Linked DNA regions of Drosophila melanogaster. The gene in region 1 interacts genetically with each later gene. Each region holds a gene or a part of one and is shown on either strand. Other genes may lie near its edges. The genes, in order: Zw, AMPKalpha and ND-23.

Evidence for each region.
Region 2: of Zw (region 1) and AMPKalpha, changing one suppresses a phenotype caused by changing the other (phenotypic suppression), as found in Drosophila melanogaster (one study listed by BioGRID).
Region 3: of Zw (region 1) and ND-23, changing one suppresses a phenotype caused by changing the other (phenotypic suppression), as found in Drosophila melanogaster (one study listed by BioGRID).

What each region holds. Positions count from the first base shown.
Region 1 is NC_004354.4:19,664,942-19,673,367, forward strand, and holds Zw (zwischenferment), read left to right. Parts: upstream 1-2,310; 5' UTR 2,311-2,660; coding exon 2,661-2,679; exon of another isoform or gene 2,680-2,805; intron 2,806-4,780; exon of another isoform or gene 4,781-5,126; intron 5,127-5,398; exon of another isoform or gene 5,399-5,472; intron 5,473-5,542; coding exon 5,543-5,802; intron 5,803-5,864; coding exon 5,865-6,082; intron 6,083-6,167; coding exon 6,168-7,245; 3' UTR 7,246-7,412; downstream 7,413-8,426. Other genes in the region: Ssu72 CTD phosphatase, read left to right, coding at 1-252, 311-412; et (eye transformer), read right to left, coding at 7,695-8,426. UniProt on the Drosophila melanogaster protein: Cytosolic glucose-6-phosphate dehydrogenase that catalyzes the first and rate-limiting step of the oxidative branch within the pentose phosphate pathway/shunt, an alternative route to glycolysis for the dissimilation of carbohydrates and a major source of reducing power and metabolic intermediates for fatty acid and nucleic acid biosynthetic processes.
Region 2 is NC_004354.4:1,373,598-1,380,083, reverse strand, and holds AMPKalpha (AMP-activated protein kinase alpha subunit), read right to left. Parts: upstream 4,549-6,486; 5' UTR 4,329-4,548; exon of another isoform or gene 4,215-4,328; 5' UTR 4,176-4,214; coding exon 3,897-4,175; intron 3,389-3,896; coding exon 1,919-3,388; 3' UTR 1,188-1,918; downstream 1-1,187. Other genes in the region: CG3719 (uncharacterized protein), read left to right, coding at 712-1,008.
Region 3 is NT_033777.3:15,835,114-15,839,450, reverse strand, and holds ND-23 (NADH dehydrogenase (ubiquinone) 23 kDa subunit), read left to right. Parts: upstream 1-2,333; 5' UTR 2,334-2,421; coding exon 2,422-2,461; intron 2,462-2,644; coding exon 2,645-3,096; exon of another isoform or gene 3,097-3,164; coding exon 3,165-3,326; 3' UTR 3,327-3,403; downstream 3,404-4,337. Other genes in the region: Pbp45 (PSEA-binding protein 45kD), read left to right, coding at 39-1,130; spn-E (spindle E), read right to left, coding at 1,471-1,713, 1,771-1,968; Arpc3A (Actin-related protein 2/3 complex, subunit 3A), read right to left, coding at 3,901-4,254. UniProt on the Drosophila melanogaster protein: Core subunit of the mitochondrial membrane respiratory chain NADH dehydrogenase (Complex I) that is believed to belong to the minimal assembly required for catalysis. Complex I functions in the transfer of electrons from NADH to the respiratory chain.

The DNA.
Region 1 (8,426 bases):
CAGAACGGCCTGCTACACATGCTCGACCGCAATCGTCGCATAAAGAAGTGCCCGGAACGGTTTCAGGACACCAAAGAGCAGTTCGACATCATCGTCACTGTGGAAGAGCGCGTCTACGACCTGGTGGTGATGCACATGGAGTCCATGGAATCCGTGGACAACCGACCCGTGCACGTTCTCAACGTGGATGTGGTGGACAACGCTGAAGATGCGCTAATGGGCGCCTTTGTCATCACAGACATGATAAACATGGTATGATCATCTGTCGTCCATTCCCTCAATTCGCCCAACGATTCTTGTGCCTTTGCAGATGGCCAAGTCCACGGACCTGGACAACGACATCGACGAATTGATCCAGGAGTTCGAGGAGCGCCGCAAGCGGGTCATCCTGCACTCGGTGCTCTTCTACTGACGACCGACGTCTGCTAACAGTTCGTGTCCAGCTCCAGCACCAACACCAGACTCCCGTAGCCCCGACGCGCTCCAGCCGAGTCACTCGATCTTGTACCCCAGGGGCTGCGATCGCAGAGCATAGGACGTCGGGCATTGCGCGCAGCGCGTGCGGATCCTGGGTTCCGGATTGGTAGCCTAGCATATAAGAATACTGTAAATAGAGAGGGGCCATCGCTGCAGCGAAAGCACATCCAACAACGACCAGCACCCACACACTCGCATACTCCAAACACCTGATTCGTAATCCACATCAACACCACACATGCAAGCAACTGGCTAATGAATTGGAATATAACACACAACCAATGACGACCATTTCCACACGGCTGCCCCCCAAAACCCCTGTAGTAGTATGTGTACGTGTCCGTATTCCTTGTAATTTCGCCCGTCGACTGGGGGTCTTATCACAGGCTCTCGCTTCCCTCAGCTGGCGAAGGCGCCGACCATCTGACTCCGACCCGTTCTCCCGTTCGGCCGCTCTGCCGCTCTCTTCGCCCGGCTTTGAGTCCGATTCGGACTCAGATTCGGATTCGATTCACATAAAGTGAAATCTCGCATCGTGATTGTGTGAATGAGCATGCACGCCAGAGAGCCACACAGGGGCGGAACGGTCTGGGCCCTCGCGGGCAGGGGCCGCGTTTTTTAATTTTACACAGTTTTACCAATTGTTCAGACAGGGCAAACCCGACCGACCTTGGTTGGGGCTGTGCGTTTTAAACCAAAGGCAAAGGCCCGCAACGGGCGCTAGCTTGCAATAGAAAATAAACAACAGGGGAGTTGTGTTCACTAAGGATTGGAATAAAAGTGCACGCCAATTTATGCCGGTTTCTTGTTGACGGCCTGTGTCACATTTACCCTGCGACCTCAAACCTGCCTAGGTCTTCTCTTCGACGGAAATACCATTGATTACGTCTCATCCCACTGCTACCTCGGAGTTCACCTTGATCGGACGCTGAGTTGGAAAGCCCTTATCACGGCTCCTGGAAACTGAAAAAGCTGGACTGGGTTTTCCACTCAAGCAAACTCCATATGGCAACTAAGGCTCTCTTAATAAAAGCCATATCCAAGTGTGGGGAACAGAGTATTAGAGTAAGACAATCGGGAGCGGCACGACATGCATCTGGGCTACATGTGGTATGTGAGCAATAGAGTTATTGAAGGGGACTTAAAAGGTGTCCCATTGGGGTACCAAATAAACTTCCATAGCAGCCGATATGCCGACAGACTTAGCGCCCACTTAAACACGTTAGCGAATGATCTTGTCGACCCTATTTCCCTCCGATGTCTGAAGAGAATACATCCCCATGAACTCCTTACACGTAATATAGCATAATCTCTCCTCGGTACATTTGTATACACTATAATTAAGGAACAGAATCCATAATATCTTTTAAGCTACACATTAGGTTAACTTCAGAAGGAACTGATCGATTCCTACTGACTAATGAATAATAATAAATGATTTAAACTCTAAAAAGAAATGTTGACGTTTGCTCGTTTTCACTGACCAAATACGACGTGATTCTAGGTAGGATTAGAAATTGTAAGGGTGTTGTTTAGTAATGTGGGAATCATAATTCTAGCATAATTTCATCATTAAACTCATCAACGCATCAGATCAATGCTCTCAGATTAAACAGTTTTATTTCCATGTTATACTATGATATCGTATTATTTGTATATTTATGTGTTATCCATCAATTCCATTCACATGTAAATCCAGATCGAATGGGCCCCCGCGCGCACTGAATCCGCTCCTGTCTGCGATCAGCTGCGCAGTCGGGGTTACAAAGCGTCTGCTGCTTTAGCTGTTGTTGCTGGTGTGTTGGTGTTGTTGCCATTGGCAGTGCTTGCTTGGGCGTTTGTTTGCTGCGGCGGTTCGCGCCGCGCTTCAGTCAGTCAGGGAACGATCGTGCTTATCTTCATTACTACTACCGCTTCCACCGAGGCTTCGCGACTCCGTACCCGTACTCGCTTTGTTTTACGTTTGCGCTACTAGTTAGTGAATCCGACGACGACGACCTGCGCGTGCGATTAAAGCGCCGCAACTCTTTGTAATTACACAGCCAGAGCCGCAGAGGTTGCTCAAAATCCAGCGACTGGAGAAATCGTATATCGAGTTGGAAATCCGAATCGAAAGGCTTGCGTATACATAGTTGTCACACTTTTGCTTTTAAACAGAAAAATCCATTCACATTCGGGTCAAGATGGCAACGCAAAAGGAAGGTGAGTATCGCAGCTTTGGGCAATTGGTATCGAATTGGATTCCACACCGCGTACTGTTACCAATTCGATTTTCGGGCGCGTACTTGCCGCGATCACTGTCGCGCCAGGTGGACTGGCTTTCCAATCGGAATCCGATTGCGAGTGCGAGAGCCAGTGCCAGTGCCAGTGCCCGTGCCAGTGCGCCCTTCAAATGTGCTCTTCGCCTGGCACTGGGGGTCACCTACAAAAAGCAGAGGACGCGGACTCGGCCGACTGTCTTCTTATCACAGGAGAGGCCACACCGCTGCTCCGCTCCCGCACCCGCACCGCTCTCTATCATACTTTCATACTTCCACTCTCCACTACCACTGGCCACTCTCCACCTGTCACTCTTACTCTCACTCCTCCACGCCTACTACTCACTCCCCCAACTACCCATCCAGCCGAGCGATGACGTGTGGGCGCCGCTCTTGGCCATCGGACGGGCTTGGATCCGAGCGGCCAGCTAAAACAAACACTCGCTGCGTGCTCCAAGATTAGAACCCGGCAATAGCAATAACCTTTGGCGGCAGCGCGAACTCTCCAGTCCCCAGTCCCCAATCTCCGTTCTCCACTCTGTGGCAATGACATTGGAACGCATGCATGTGTACATTCTACGCACGGTTAATTAGCTGCCCACCTGCGTTCTACACGAGAAGCCTTTCCAAACAGAAACCAAAAAAAAAAAAAAGAAAACAAAAACAACAGCGGACAACAAATGCAAACTCGCTTGGCGTTAATAATATTCAAACGCGTTACCTTGCTCACCGCCTATTACTTTCTCCCTTCTCCACTCGCCCTCTACATTCGGCTGCTCTCCATTCTCCAATCTCCATTCTCCTTGCCCCAATGCCTTCGCTTCGTCTGTGTCAATGTCAAATGCGATGCGGCCGAGATTACAGTCGAGCTTCGATAAGTGAAACCAAGCTGAGTCAAGCAAAAATGCGAAGACTTGAGCAAGCAAGGCAAAACAAACGGGAAATTAAGACATATGGCAAACTCAAAAAAAAGGTTAAAGTCATTTATGTTCCTGCTAGGCAAACACCACTGTCGGCTTGTGACTCACAATCTCGGCATTTGAAGGAGCTCGCTAGCCTCTTAGTCACCATCCATCCATCCACCAGCACCATCCAACTCACTGGCTGTGTAATCTTTCGAAGCTCCTACAGCCGAAAAGTATGCATTACCGGCGTTCGCAGAGATCGGCCTCGGAATTAGGGTTAAATTCCAGCTCAACTCATATCTTCGGAGAGCCCAGGTAGCCCGCCGTAGAATCACGTGATTCACCGAGACCCATCCACTTCGACATTTAAACGACTCACAATGATTCTCAAAAACGAACGCAGTGCCCCATGATGTTTCCAGAAGCTCATATTATCGAAATCTATATTTTATGACACCGTGACAGTGCCTGCATTAGTGGCTCGCAACCCTTTTTAAACGACACACAATGATTCTCAAAAACGAACGCAGTGCCCCTCCTCCATTCATTTTCCAAAAGCTCATTATATCGAAATCTATGTTATGACACCGCGACAGTGCCTCCATTATTGGCTCACAACCTTTTTGAAACATTTTCCGAATGATTTTCCTATGACCTCTAAGATACGAACGTGCACACATTCAAAATCGGGGAGCTTTAGGTTTTCAAGATTTTGAGATTTTTGAACTTTTGAAAAAGTCTATCTACATACTCGTAGTTATTTTTAGAGATATACTACAGAGGTTTACTAAAGGCTAGTTACTAGTTTGCAAGAACAGTATCCCTAGTAGATCACATAGCAGCAGATCAAGTATATATCATCCATTAAGCATACAACACTGTAATCTCTTCCGATCTGTGCGGGAAGTGATGCCATCGTGGGTTCATCTGATCATCCGACCGATCGCATTCCCGCCACGCGATCGACTGATGCTGCCCGTTCCGAAGCCAAGTTTGGATATACGGTGAATAGTGATGTATGTACATACATACGTCCGGAGCACTTGGCTTGCACTTTGTGCCCAAGTTCGCCTCGCCGTCGACGTCGCTGCCGGGTTCATCGCTTACACCTTGTTAAAGTCGACCGCAGCGCGGCGATTTATTCGTTTTGTGCAACCGCATCGGAAGATACGCGCGTGCACCTGCTCCACCTTTTACACCTGGCCAAGCTTCCGCCACCTAACCCAGTTCCACCTGGCCCAGCCCACAGCTATCCGGGCATCAATTAGCGCCCGCTGCGGAGGTTGACCTCTGGCGGATTCTTTGGCCAGTCATCGGGATCGAATCGAATCGAATCGAATCGAATCGGATCGGATCGGATCGGAGTTGATTAGACAACGGACCCCGGTCTTATCGAGTGCTTATCGCTCCCCCTTCCCTTGACATTGAATAGGCCTTCAAATAGTCTGCATTCGGGCCCAGACCATCAGTTGCCTCCAGGCCCTCGGTGAGTCCTCACGCAGCTCATTCTGACCAACCAATCACCAACCATACGGAGTCGATGAGTCCCCCGGTGATCTATGCAAGCCAAAGGGCAAGGTCACTGAAAATTCCCGCACATCCTAAAGCTGATAGCATTTTTTTTGTTTTTCTCACTGTGCAACTAACAACTAAGAAGTAGAGAACCCCTATACCATTCTCACTTTATAGTTTAGCAGTAAAAGCAATGCATTTAAGGAAGCTATAACTATTTCTAGTTCATTTAGTTCCCTTTGATAAAGTTTTGACAGTTGAAAAAAGTTACTTAGTGAAAAAAACAAGTAGAAATTCCTGGATATCCACAGAGCCACAGAGTAATAGTCTTAAGTGGAATTCAAAGCCAGAGTAAGCCTAACCAGATCCGCCTTTCATATGTGCCCACAGATCACACCGCCCTGGATCTCATAATCAAGTCACTCAAGTCGCCTACAATGGTCTGCGAGGGAACCCACTTTGACGGCAAGATTCCGCACACGTTCGTCATCTTTGGGGCGTCGGGCGATCTGGCCAAGAAGAAGATCTACCCCACGCTCTGGTGGCTCTACCGCGATGACCTGCTGCCCAAGCCGACCAAGTTCTGCGGCTATGCCCGTTCCATGCTGACCGTCGATAGCATCAAGGAGCAGTGTCTGCCGTACATGAAGGTGCGTTCGGGATTTGGTCATAGGCCATTTGCATCGCATTAACCCAACCCATTGCCACACAGGTCCAGCCGCACGAGCAGAAGAAGTACGAGGAGTTCTGGGCCCTCAATGAGTACGTGTCCGGCAGATATGACGGACGCACTGGCTTCGAGCTGCTTAACCAGCAGCTGGAGATTATGGAGAACAAGAACAAGGCCAACCGCATCTTCTATCTGGCCCTGCCGCCCAGCGTCTTCGAGGAGGTGACTGTCAACATCAAGCAGATCTGCATGTCGGTCTGGTGAGTATAAGATCAAGATCAAGATCCAGATGCATTTAATTTGAAACCCGATACTTATGTACACCTATAACCCGTTCGCTTGCAGCGGTTGGAACCGCGTGATTATCGAGAAGCCTTTCGGCCGGGATGACGCCTCCTCGCAGGCGCTGAGCGACCATCTGGCCGGTCTGTTCCAGGAGGATCAGCTGTACCGCATCGATCACTACCTGGGCAAGGAGATGGTGCAGAACCTGATGACCATACGCTTCGGCAACAAGATCCTCAGCTCGACGTGGAACCGCGAGAACATCGCCTCCGTGCTGATCACGTTCAAGGAGCCCTTCGGCACGCAGGGTCGTGGCGGCTACTTCGACGAGTTCGGCATCATACGCGACGTGATGCAGAACCATCTGCTGCAGATCCTCTCGCTGGTGGCCATGGAGAAGCCGGTGAGCTGCCACCCGGACGACATTCGTGACGAGAAGGTCAAGGTGCTGAAGAGCATCGAGGCCCTGACGCTGGATGACATGGTGCTGGGCCAGTACCTGGGCAATCCGCAGGGTACAAACGATGATGCGCGCACGGGCTACGTGGAGGACCCCACCGTTAGCAACGATTCGAACACGCCCACCTACGCCCTCGGCGTGCTCAAGATCAACAACGAGCGCTGGCAGGGAGTGCCCTTCATCCTGCGCTGCGGCAAGGCGCTGAACGAGCGCAAGGCGGAGGTGCGTATCCAGTACCAGGACGTGCCCGGCGACATCTTCGAGGGCAATACGAAGCGCAACGAGCTGGTCATCCGCGTCCAGCCGGGCGAGGCCCTGTACTTTAAGATGATGACCAAGAGCCCCGGCATCACGTTCGACATCGAGGAGACGGAGCTGGACCTCACCTACGAGCACCGCTACAAGGACTCCTACCTGCCGGACGCGTACGAGCGTCTCATCCTCGACGTCTTCTGCGGCTCCCAGATGCACTTCGTCCGCTCGGACGAGCTGCGCGAGGCGTGGCGCATATTTACGCCCATTCTGCACCAGATCGAGAAGGAGCACATTCGGCCAATCACCTACCAGTACGGATCGCGCGGTCCCAAGGAGGCGGACCGCAAGTGCGAGGAGAACAATTTCAAGTACTCCGGCTCCTACAAGTGGCACGGCGGCAAGGCGGCCACGTCCAATCACTGAGCGTTTGGAGCACACCAATCCCCGGGCTGGGTTCGCAGGATACTCCTCTCTGTCCGCACGTACATGTACATACATACATATATATGTATATATACATATATGCATTCTTTGGTTATTTGTAATTCGGTCTGTACAAGATTTTTTTTTATTAAATATACAAAATAGTGTTTAGCTGGAGCAGAACGATCTTCTAACTCATAATCCCGGCTAGTTCGATGTGTATGTGGTGATGCCGATCGCATGCGTGTCGATGTACATAAATAGATCCTTCATAGGATGGCAGATGGGTGGCAAACGTAACCCTACGGTTGTAATACTAACTAAATAATGAGTATGCTTCTGGTCAGTGGGCTTCGGTGCTGAGCCGGGCTAGTTACTAGCGGCTCCTCTCGAATATAGATTTACAGGCGAACTACAACAAGAGCGGGCAGCAATCTTCCCGAGAGATTTCAGCGCACGGGTGGCGGCTTGATGTACCCATCGCCGCAGGGCGCGCCTATTGCGCTCATGGACACATACTGATTGGTTACGTACGCATCGGCCTGGGGCACGGGCTGTGGTCTGGGCACCTCCTGCAGCTCTATCTCCGGCCACCTCGTGGGCTCCTCTTCCGCAAATGTCACGGTTTTGCGCACTGTGCCGTAGAACTTCTCCGGCGGAACATTGGCGGGATAGAACAGGCGTACATCGCCAAGTGGATTTGCTGTGGGCTCTTCGCTCATCACTGGCAGTTCAACCCGGATGTCCGCCATTTGGCGCAGCTTCTGAATGGCCAAGACGAGCGACCCAAGCACCAGCAGAGCGATGGTGCCCTCCACGTACCGCAAGATCTTTGGCTTCTCGGGCACCTCGCTGTCACCGGACCACCAGCGCATCCCGGTGGTCAGGCCGTCGCTGTAGTTGGCCGCCACAGCCATCCGGATCACGCCCTGGATTCCGGAGAAATTGTACGCCGTCTCGCGGGCGTAGGTCGTCTCGATGGAGGAACTATCGTCGCAGGCATCGTGCACTTTGCTGGATAGCTTGCACCAATAGACTATGTAGCCAGTGAAGTTTCCCAGCTCCTCCGGCCCTTGCCAGCTGAGTCTGGAGCTCGTCTTATTGTAGCTCTCCAGGTAAATCCGTCGATCCCGGATGTCGCTCAGTCTGGGCACCTCCAGCTGGCTGCTCTCCAGCGATCG
Region 2 (6,486 bases), about 18 Mb from region 1:
CAACGATGACCTTGTGCGCTGGCCTACGTGCTTGGGTTTGGGATACTTGGGAGGAGCAAGGGGTGCAGGCAGGGGAAGGGGACGAATCCACCCCATGACGTACTTGGCCGTGGACCCGTCCATAGATACAAACATATGTGTGCGCACACTCGCCTCAGTTCTGTTTTCAATTTTGTTTTCGGCCTGTGCTCGTGTATGCAAATGAGCCCCAAAACATTGGATACCGGTTTAAACCCCTTTCAGCCAGCCGCTGCGTCCGCGAAGAAACGGGAGCCAGCTGCAGAAGACCCTTCAGCATATCGCTCCATGGCCGAGTTATCAATTGCAGTTGGATTAGGCGAGATAAGAGAAACGTGAGTCACACACACACACACATTTTGTAGCCTCCCAAGTGACCACCCCGCAATCTCAGAGTAGACGGAATTTAAAACTACTAATATAGCAGACACTGGCTACAATTGTATGAATCACTCACTATATGAAAACTGCAGTATTCTGCCGCAAATCAATCTCGATAGTCACCCCGGCAGCCGCAGGTCCATCTCCCCTTTTTAGCTATGACGTTATGCCTATAAGTGGCATAATCTGGCATACTCGACGTTGTGGTGACGTTATGGGGATGACAATGAGGTGTTTTGTTAGTTCCGAGCAAAGCACTCCAATTTTAAAGTCTGTTCAACCACCACCTATGTATTATGCCTTGTTCCGCAGGTGATCAACAGCGACAACCCGGTGATCGTGAACTTCCACGCCGAGTGGTGCGACCCCTGTAAGATACTCACGCCCAAGATGCTCGAGCTGCTTGAGAACTCGAACGAGATCGACCTGGCGGTCATCGATGTGGAGACGAACCTGGATCTCGTCGAGACCTTCGAGGTGAAGGCCGTGCCCGCTGTTCTGGCCTTCAGGAACGGCGTCGTAGTGGACAAGTTCATTGGTCTGGTCGACGCCAACAGCATCGAGACCCTAATCGACAAACTGAAGCGGAAGCAACAGCAGAAGCAGTAGTGAGCTGGAGCGGCGATGCGATGCACAGGTGGATTAGATCAGGGATGCTATGATTTTACACACGAAACGGGAGACTGGAACTGCGATATGAAGCCCAATGCCGAGGCAGAATTTGCAATCATCGATGCTGAAAGAATGTGCACAACATACCTTAATATGCAATAAAACTAACTTTAATTATGGCTACTCTTAATTCACACTTCGTCCACAATCGATTTAGAATATTAATGGATCGCTTTATTGTTTGGTTGGTTCAGATACAGATACATAAAACTTGGTCCACATCTGGTTGTTATCTGACAGCTTCCCCAGACGAGGTTCCAATTACAATTCGTTAGGCATAATACAAATACATCCACGTGCACATGCGGTTTGGATAATAACTCAACTTGCTTATAAACATAAATCGAAATAGAAACAGAACAGAACAGAAACGGATCGAAGCCCGCCGACCGGGCGGAACCTACAGACTTAGACTAACCGGAAGCGGAAATCGATACGGCAAAGCGGGTAACGGTAGCGTAGCGGCAACGGCGGTTGGCGGTGTCCGAGTTCAATAACATTTTATGTGGATTACACAGCCGCACAAAGAAAAGCTGGAGTCGGAGTCCCAAGCTCTTGTTCGTCGTCTAGTAGCAGGCCATTTTTAAAATCTATTCCCAAATCCTGCTACCGATAATTGCACATTGGGTTTCCGATTAAAATCAAAAGGGTTTGGGACGAATGCAAGAACTTAGTCATGTGGTTAAGGCCAGACTCCGGGATCCGCGGAGCCCGAAACTCCCCCCAGCTTTCCTTTGTGGGACTGTGTCTTCCGGGTAATGGTCAATCCTCAGGACTGTCCGAGTGCGGATCGCCAGCCGAGAAGATCCCATCCGGTCCGCTGCGGCCGATGGCGGTCACCTCATCCTTAGCGAGCCAGTTGAATGATCAGGGCGGCGCACATTTCGAAAAACTCCATGGTGTGGTGGCCGGTCGGCTGCAGCGGCATCACCCCGGACACGCTAAGCGGCGGCGGAGTAAGGCTCTCCATGATGACGTCGTCGCCCTGCTCGACCTCGTCGTTGGTCAGCGACTTGAAGTCGAGCAGATAGCTCTTGGCGTCCACCTGGTACAGCTGCAGTGACATCTTCGAGAACTTGCCGGTCTTCACGTTCTGCCTGCGCACCCGAACGTGGTACGGATTGATGATCTTCCACTCGTAGCTGAGTGCCTTCATCGCTCGGTATACCTCGAGCATTATGTCGTTGGGCTTGCTCTGCGACCGGATGCCCAGATGCCACTTGGCGCGCTTGATGGGAGTGCCGCCACGTGCGGTTTTCTCCGGGAAGGCTCCGCCGCCAGATGTCTGCACGGACATGGCCAGTTGACGGTCCCGCATCGGCGCAATCCGCTCCGGATGCGGTCGAATGGGTATGGTGCTGCTAGGCGTGCCTCCAGCCACTGGTGGCACTGGTGTGGCGGTGCCCGAGCTGGCTGAGGTACCTCCGCCAACGGTCACGGTGGCCAGAGGGGCTTGGTGGTCCATCGATGATTGGGGAACGGGCGGAGGCGGCGGCGGTGGTGGAGAGCCGGCCACAAAGAAGTTGTTGATCTCGTTTATTTGGTTGGCCGCGTCGTCGGCGAAGCGTTTGTTGTCGATGATCAGATGGTAAGCGATGGCCAGCTGATCGTGCGGATCGCCGCTGAGCAGCGAGTTGTGCACCTCGGTCTCCTTGACGCCGAACTTGGTGCAGACCTCTGCCACAGCGTAGGTGTCGATCACATTGGAGTCCTGCTCGATGGACGAGGGGAAGAGGTAGGCCGGGAGGTCCTTTTGGAACCACTCGTGCTTCTTGATTTCCTCGATGTTGGCCCGCTTGAGCGGGTCCACTTGCAGCATCTGACAGACCAGATTGACCACTTGTTTGTTGAGGTACTCGGGAATGGGGAAAATGCCCGACTTGATCTTGCGAAACAGCGTAGGCACATGCTCGTCGTCAAAGGGCAGCGTCCCGCACAGCAGGGCGTACAGGATGACGCCGCACGACCAGATGTCCACCTCGGGACCGGCGTACAGCTTGCCGGAAATCACCTCGGGCGCCGCGTAGTTGGGCGAGCCGCACGAGGTGCGCAGGAACTCGCCGTCCAGCATCATGTTCGAGAGCCCAAAGTCGGCGATCTTCACGTGCATGTTGTGGTCGAGCAGCAGGTTCTCTGGCTTCAGGTCTCGATGCACGATCATGTGCCGGTGGCAATAGTCCACGCCAGAGATAATCTGCTGAAAAAAGCGGCGCGCTTGGTGCTCCTGCAGCTTGCCGTGCTTCACAATATAGTCGAACAGCTCCCCGCCGCTCACGTACTCCATGATCATGAAGATGTCCGACGGCGTCGATATGACCTTCGGAGAGTTACGGAAAGGTTAGCAAGCACGTTTATATCAGCTGATGACTGCAGCCGTCCCTAGGTTCCCCCAAGCCCTGCCTAACCTAATTGGTAACTGATCCAATCCGAAAATCGAGGGAAAATGTGCTTGTAAAACCAAAGCAGACCCCGTACATATTCCTTTTATAAACTTTCCTTCCAAACTTTTTGCTCATTTAAGTTGGGCTTCTATGTCTGTTGCGAATGTCTAGCCAGTGGCCCAGTTTCTAGATATGCATTTGCCTTCCGCAACAAAATTCGGATGACTAGGCATGACCGTGTACTTTATAGATAAACAAACCTCCAAAATGTTGTTATAGAAAAGCTATTCCCCCTTCGGGCATATCCTGCCTTTTTGTTTATTAAACTGCGGCTTGATTGTTTGTTATTAGTAGCTGGCCAGCGTAATTGGAAGAGGAAACCAGTAACCCAGTTTCCTGGAAAGCTTGGACTTAGAAAGTCTAAGCTTGGAGCCATGAACTCACCTGGTACAACTTGATGATGTGCGGATGGCGGAAGAGCTTTAGGTTCTGGATCTCACGCCGGATCTTGCCCACGACGTCCAGGCTTTTGATCTTCTGACGATTGAGTATCTTGACGGCCACCTTGACGCGTGTGATCTGGTGCTCGCCGATCTTCACCTTGCCGAAGGTTCCCGTTCCCAGGGTTGCGCCCAGTAGGTAGTGCCCAATCTTGACCAGCGGCTGGCCATTGGCGCTGCCGGCGGCCACCGCCTCAGCGGCCGCAGCCCTCATCTGGGGCATCTCGAGCAGGTAGCTCCTTGTTGGACTGGGGGTGCTCCACTGCTCCGCTGCGGATGGGCGCGGAGAGGGGAGCGGTGGTAAGGTCGTTATCGGTTATTGCGTAGTGTACTCCGCTGAATCAACAGAATAGAATAGAATAGAGCAGCCACTCACGTTACGTTCTTCCTGCCAGCCGTGCCACCTCGCCCGGATACGGATTCGGATGTCAAAGTGGTTGTGGATGTGTCAAGGGCGGTTGAATTGATACTGATTTCCTGGATTTCTATTCGAGCGCGGCAACGAGACTCTCCTTTACGCTTGGGTTTTCTTCGCGTTTTGCTTATTTAATTGACATTGGAAGGCGCTGCCACTTCCAACAACACTGCCTTCCAACAACACTCGTTCCAGCAGCTGATTCGCGCCCTCTCTTTCTCTCTCTCTCTCGCCTTCCAGTGGCTATCGATAAGTGGCGGCCAGTGATGCCAGGTAGTTCCGCAGTGGCGCGCAATTTAAAACCATCTTGCCACTTATGCTGAATTTATAAAAAGCAATATTAATGGCTTTACTCAACCACATTTGAAATAGTTAAGCTCGCAAAAAAACTAGTAGGTGTGCGTTGTCGAAACTCTCTGATGTCCAATTGAAAGGGAAAAGATGCCCGTTTTGTGATTTAAATACACATTTATTACACCAAGTTGATTTTTTGGATCCACTCCACGCGCATAGAAGGTCAGAAAGATACCTCTTTTGTGCAACGTTAAGTGTAGATCAACATTCAATATAGATTATCAAGAATACTGTCCTAAAATTCTCAAAGATGTATGGTAAAATTCAGTTTGTTCACAAATATGCGTGTATATGTCAAGCTTTGTATTTTTCTTTTTTAGTTTCTGTAGTAAAAGGCTGCCACAGCTTCTTGTTTTCACCTGTCAAATAGAACCGCTTAATGACTAGTATATAATGTTCGTGTAAATGCGTTTTTACGACGATCAGGATTCAGCTAAGCGAAAATTGAACATTTTAACTATTTATTTGCTTAGCCTAACATCAATTTACAACAATAGTATATCGTCAACTTAAGCTCTGATCCGCACTGTACTGTGCTGACTGTACCTCAAATCTGTATCATCTCTCTCGCTCTCTTTCGCTGAGGCTGCATCGCACCATCTCGCTCGCAGACTCAAGAATTCAATTTGTGTTCGTTTATTATAAACTTTAGGATTTAAGGTTTAAATACATGTATTTCTTTCGTGCTTTAAGTTTATTCTGAAAAAAAAGTCACCTTAACTATGATATTGCTACGAGACTAGGATTTACGTTTAGAGATTATCAATACTAAAAAAAAAAAATTTCGGACCTCTGGGTCTCACGGGTATGCTGGTTGGAAAATTTCAAGTTTATTTCATATTCAGCCATCTTCTTGTCGGGTTTCTGTTGGAAGTTTACCCGAAGTTCGGGTATTTATACATCATTCATATATATTATCTAATATATAGGTGTTTGTATAGTGTGGTGTTCTTGTTCTTGGTTTGTTGGTAGTACATCAATAATTTATTTATAATGTAGTAAAAAGCAAGTGACGCGAACGAACCCTCGCTGTCGACGTTCCTTATAAGTCTACAAATTAACCATCTATTCAGAGCAAGCGTCTTCTGTCTGTTGTCATAAGGTTCGTCTCTCTATATATCCGTGTGTGTAACGTCCGTCTCACAGTGTCCGGCCGGAATAGTCGCCACATCTTGGGGCTTTGCATCCGTGCAGTTACTCAATTCATTTACAATTCGCAATCCACCAAGAGCGAAGATTGTTTCGTGAACTGGAGATGAGTGCAGGAAAGTTATATTTGAGTTTTGGTTGCGTTCTCGTCTCGTCTTGAGTGGCTGATGGTTTGCGTTTGGGGCTTTGTATGTTGCTCATACAAACTCATTGGAATTTTTTCTTATGTGGTTCGATCAAGGATTCGACTCCGACCGTCTTTATGTGTGTGTGTGTGTGTGTTGTTGGGGATTGTGTAGGCTGGTTAACTTTGGAACATTATTTCGTACATCTTAATACACGCTATGCATCTTTAATTTGCTCTGCTTAATTCTGTGATAGTGTTCTTGTGGTACTGCCTATGTCTGCCGTGCACCTTTGCTTTGCCTCTTGCTGCCAATGCTTGGATTTGCTATTCCTGGCCAGTGTGGTTTCGGGTTATATCGTATGGTCTCAACCAATCCTGGCTCTCTGATATGGATATACATATATGGATAGCAAGATACATACATACACATAGAGAGCGAGAGAGTTGGCTACTATTGGATATCGCTTCTGGGTAATATCTCCTCTTCCC
Region 3 (4,337 bases), on another chromosome or scaffold:
GAGAGATGCGCATATATTTCGCGTAATTAAGATTCAGAATGGAGCTGAATATCTTTGACGACTGCTGGGAGCTGGTGCAACGATTTCAGCGATTGGTTAATGATGGCGAAAACTGCGAGTTCGAGGTGTTCTGCCGGTGCTGGCGAGAACTGCAGCTGCAGCACCTCTTCACTGCCCAGACGAACCACACAGAGGTGATAGCCACCACACTGGCGGCCCTGCATGTGGCCAAGCGACTGTCGTGCTCCCGACGCACCACCGGGGACGTTTTCCCGGCATCTCGCGCTCAAAGGATCGGAGGTTTCTTTCTGCTCTACGTAATCTACTACAAGCAGCCCACGCACAACTTTATTAAGATCGAGGTCTCACCGCGCACTTGGCAAGAACTAACAGACTACGCTCTAGATCTGCGCAAGGATAGTCCGGAGCGGAAGGACACTCATCAGATCGCCTACATGCTGTGGCGCCTGACCCAGGAGCAGGCCTTCCGCTTCACCGCGCTCGACTATTGCCAGGGGTTGGACAATCTGGTGGACTACGACCGTGTGGAGACCGTAGCGGGTGCCAAGGAACAGAGGCAGAGTGCCTTGATGCAGAAGCAACAGCGTGCGAACGGCGTCAGTCTCACATACGAACTGGAGGGTCTGCGAGCACTGGACCAGGCAAGCCAGCCATTGTGTGAACTGGAAGCGGCATACAATGCCCAAAAGAAGCAATTGGCGGCTGGTCATGAGCACGCTTTGCCGCCCTCTCAAATATTCGGCCATTTGCGAGAAGTCTTTGCCGATATCCAAAGTGTTCTAGGAGCTAGAAAGAGTACTCCAGATGAGAATTGTACCACAACATCTACAGGCAACCAGTTGGAAGTGCGCCAGAGGGTGCGGAACAAGGCCATGTACGGCGTCGAGGAACGGGAGCCGCAAAACCAGGCGGATGAACTAGAAGTGCAGCTGGAGGTCAACGAGACTTATCAACGCCGCATGTCCTCGGCCACCGTTTTTCAGAGGGAACTTCCAGCAGACGTGCAGCAAGAGTATGAGATGATTGAGTTTAGTGACGACGAGGAAATGGAAGTGGGTGAAAGCGAGGAGGTCACGGAAGAAGAACTCAAAGCTATTTTGGATACTTGAGTTAGTTTATAAAACTTTTACATAATTAAATAACTAGCATTTTTGCGCGATGTGATCTTGTTTATCTGTTGCACATAAAATATTCATTGTATTTAAGTATGTAGGATAGGATATATAACTATATAGGATATAAGTTTCCTAGGCTTTGCTATTCTTATATAAAGAGTTGAAAAGTATATTGAAGATTATTATTTATTATATAATATTAAATACTCTCGACTAGTTTGGATTTGAATTTCAAAAGTCGAGGATAAAAGGTTTAATTATAATTCGCTTGCGTTGGCTTTATTAAAATATAGACTTAATAAAAAAGTTAGGATTTTATTTAAGTTTTGCTCACCTGCGTGGTCTTGCCACATCCTGTTTCGCCCTTAATAATGACTACCGGATGAGCATTGATGGCCGCCAATATTTCCTCGCGCTTGGCGTAGATGGACAAGTTCTTGTCGCGATTCAGATTGAATCTGAACTTCTTGTAGTACTCGTCATCCCGGCGAATTTCGGTCTCTTCCCCCTCATCGTCGGTGTCCAAATCGTCCAGCGTTCGAATGCGTTTGCCTTGAGGCTGTTCGTTGAGCAGCGTCTGGATCGAATTACACATAAACAAACAGAAGTGCTGACGCAAGCTTCCAGTTCTCACCCCGTTCAGGAGACACTTTTCCTTGGCGACGATTTTGCTGACATAGTCGGTGCCGATCAACTCGCGGTTGGGCACTTCGGATGATTTGAACTTCGTGGCCATTAGCCTCGGATCGCTGCTGATGTAGCCTTGCGGGGCGGCGGCCACGCGCTTCAACTCCTTCGAGAAGTCAAAGAAATCCATAACCTCCTGATCCATTTTCCGACATAAACAATGAAAAATTTCACAATTCCGCGTAGCGGGAAAAGTTAAACTGTAAATTGTAGTGGTGGGGATTTTCAAAGTCAATGTTGAAAAGTGTAAAAGTGCGAATTTATATCGATAGTGCCATTATCGAAGCTTTAAGGTTTTTATTAGGGGTATTCGTATAAAAAAAATGTTTTCTTTTTTTTCTCACAGTCTTTCTGGATTATTTGTTAATATTATTTATTATTTTTACACGAATATTTAATTCTTTGTTACATTATTTATATTTTATATCTCATATTTTATTTTTGGTTTATGTCATTAAGAAACTACGATATATTTGAATACGATATTTGAGCATTGAATTTATGTGGGTAATCGAAAGAAACCCAGCTCTAATTTGTTCGGGCAAATTCAATAGCAAAACAACTTCTTTGGCAATTTTAGTTTAATTTGGTCGCAAAAATGTCGCTAACTATGCGAATTTTCACCGCATCGCGCAACGGTAGGTGGCGACCCATCCCCTCACATCCGTTGTTTTCCGGGAAATTTCCCATTTTCGTGGAAATCGCGGCGAGTGAGGTTATGTAAGCTTATGTCATACCAAAACAAAAGTCTAAACTCGCTTAATTCAGTATAACTTTTCGACTTAAGCATGTTATTTAATGGTAAAATGTTCTCCCCACAGGACAGCGCCTGTTTGGCAGCCATGGAGCCCGGCTGCTGGCCGCCCAGCGAGCAGAACCCAAAGATATCGTCGAGGTTCCCAAGGGCTATGTGTATGTAAACAACAAGGAACTGAGCATGGAGTTTGCCGACATCACGGACCGTGCTGCATCCACCATGTTCTTCGGTGAACTCTTACGTGGATTTGCCGTCACCCTGGCGCACATCTTCAAGGAACCGGCCACTATCAACTATCCCTTTGAAAAGGGACCACTGAGCCCGCGATTCCGCGGAGAACATGCCCTTCGTCGTTATCCCAGTGGAGAGGAGCGCTGCATCGCTTGCAAGCTATGCGAGGCTATTTGCCCCGCACAGGCGATCACCATCGAAGCGGAGGAGCGCGCGGATGGCAGCAGACGTACCACACGCTACGATATCGACATGACCAAGTGCATCTACTGCGGATTCTGTCAGGTGAGGAGGAGCAAAGTGGCGCCACAATTTACTAGAAACTAATTGCATCTTTTTGTCCCCCCGCGTAGGAAGCCTGTCCCGTGGACGCCATCGTCGAGGGACCCAACTTCGAGTTCTCCACGGAGACGCACGAGGAGCTGCTGTACAACAAGGAGAAGCTTCTCTGCAACGGCGACAAGTGGGAGTCCGAGATTGCCTCTAACTTGCAGGCCGACCATCTCTATCGTTAAAGTTGCTTGTACCCCTAGAATTCCTTGTTTAGAACGATTTTCCAATTAAAGATCGTTGCTGTGGCTTCGTCTTAAGCGAAAGTCAGTTGTATTTTTTTTAATTACTCAACTGGCCTAATAAATATAAATTATTTATATTCAAAGAGTTCCACGTTGTATTCGACAGATGACAAAGTTTATTTAATTAACAGGCCAATAGAAAGCATTTTTTCCAATGACGGAGCGACTACAAATAAATGAAACTTAGTTAATACTTTACTATTCCGATTTTGATTACACAAATTATAGGCAATAACTTCCATTTGCTGGTCAGTTATTAGAAACAGATATTATTTATGAAAGTTACTTGCAGTTTTATCCACGTTAATTTTGTAAAAAGAATTTACATAAATTAATTAAAACAGAAAGGCTTACAAATTCAAATAATTTATTTAGTGGTTAATGAATTTAATTAATTGTGACACGTTGGCAGTGATACTGCAAATTAGGACCACGCTGCGAGTAAAACTTAATTGAAGGGTATTTTTACCCGTCGTAGAAGCAAAACAAGATACCAGATATTGTGGATAGCTGTTTATTGTCCAGGTCCAGCCAGACTCTTCTCCATGAACTTTTTCTTCGCGAAGCAGGTCCACCATTTATTGGGCTTGCCATCCTCGGTGTTGAAGACCTTCTCCAGTACCCGGTTGCCGGTTTCGTGGCGCAGCTGCAGCAGGTACTGGCGCATCAGATCCGCATCCTGGGCCGTTTGCGGCTTGGCATAGACGGCGTTCAATGGGAAGCCAGCATCGCCGGGAATGTCGAACTTGGAGATGGCCAGGCTGTACATGTCCTGCTGTCCCTGGGCCTTGCTCGTGGAGCGATTGAGCTTCTTGAGGCACTCTGTTATGTAGAGCGTCACATAGATGAGCACGCGATCCACGTCGGACTGAAAATGGTAAAACATAGTTTGTGAATTCAAGTAGCAAGTAGCATAAGGATTCAATATGACCATCACGTGACCAGGTAATG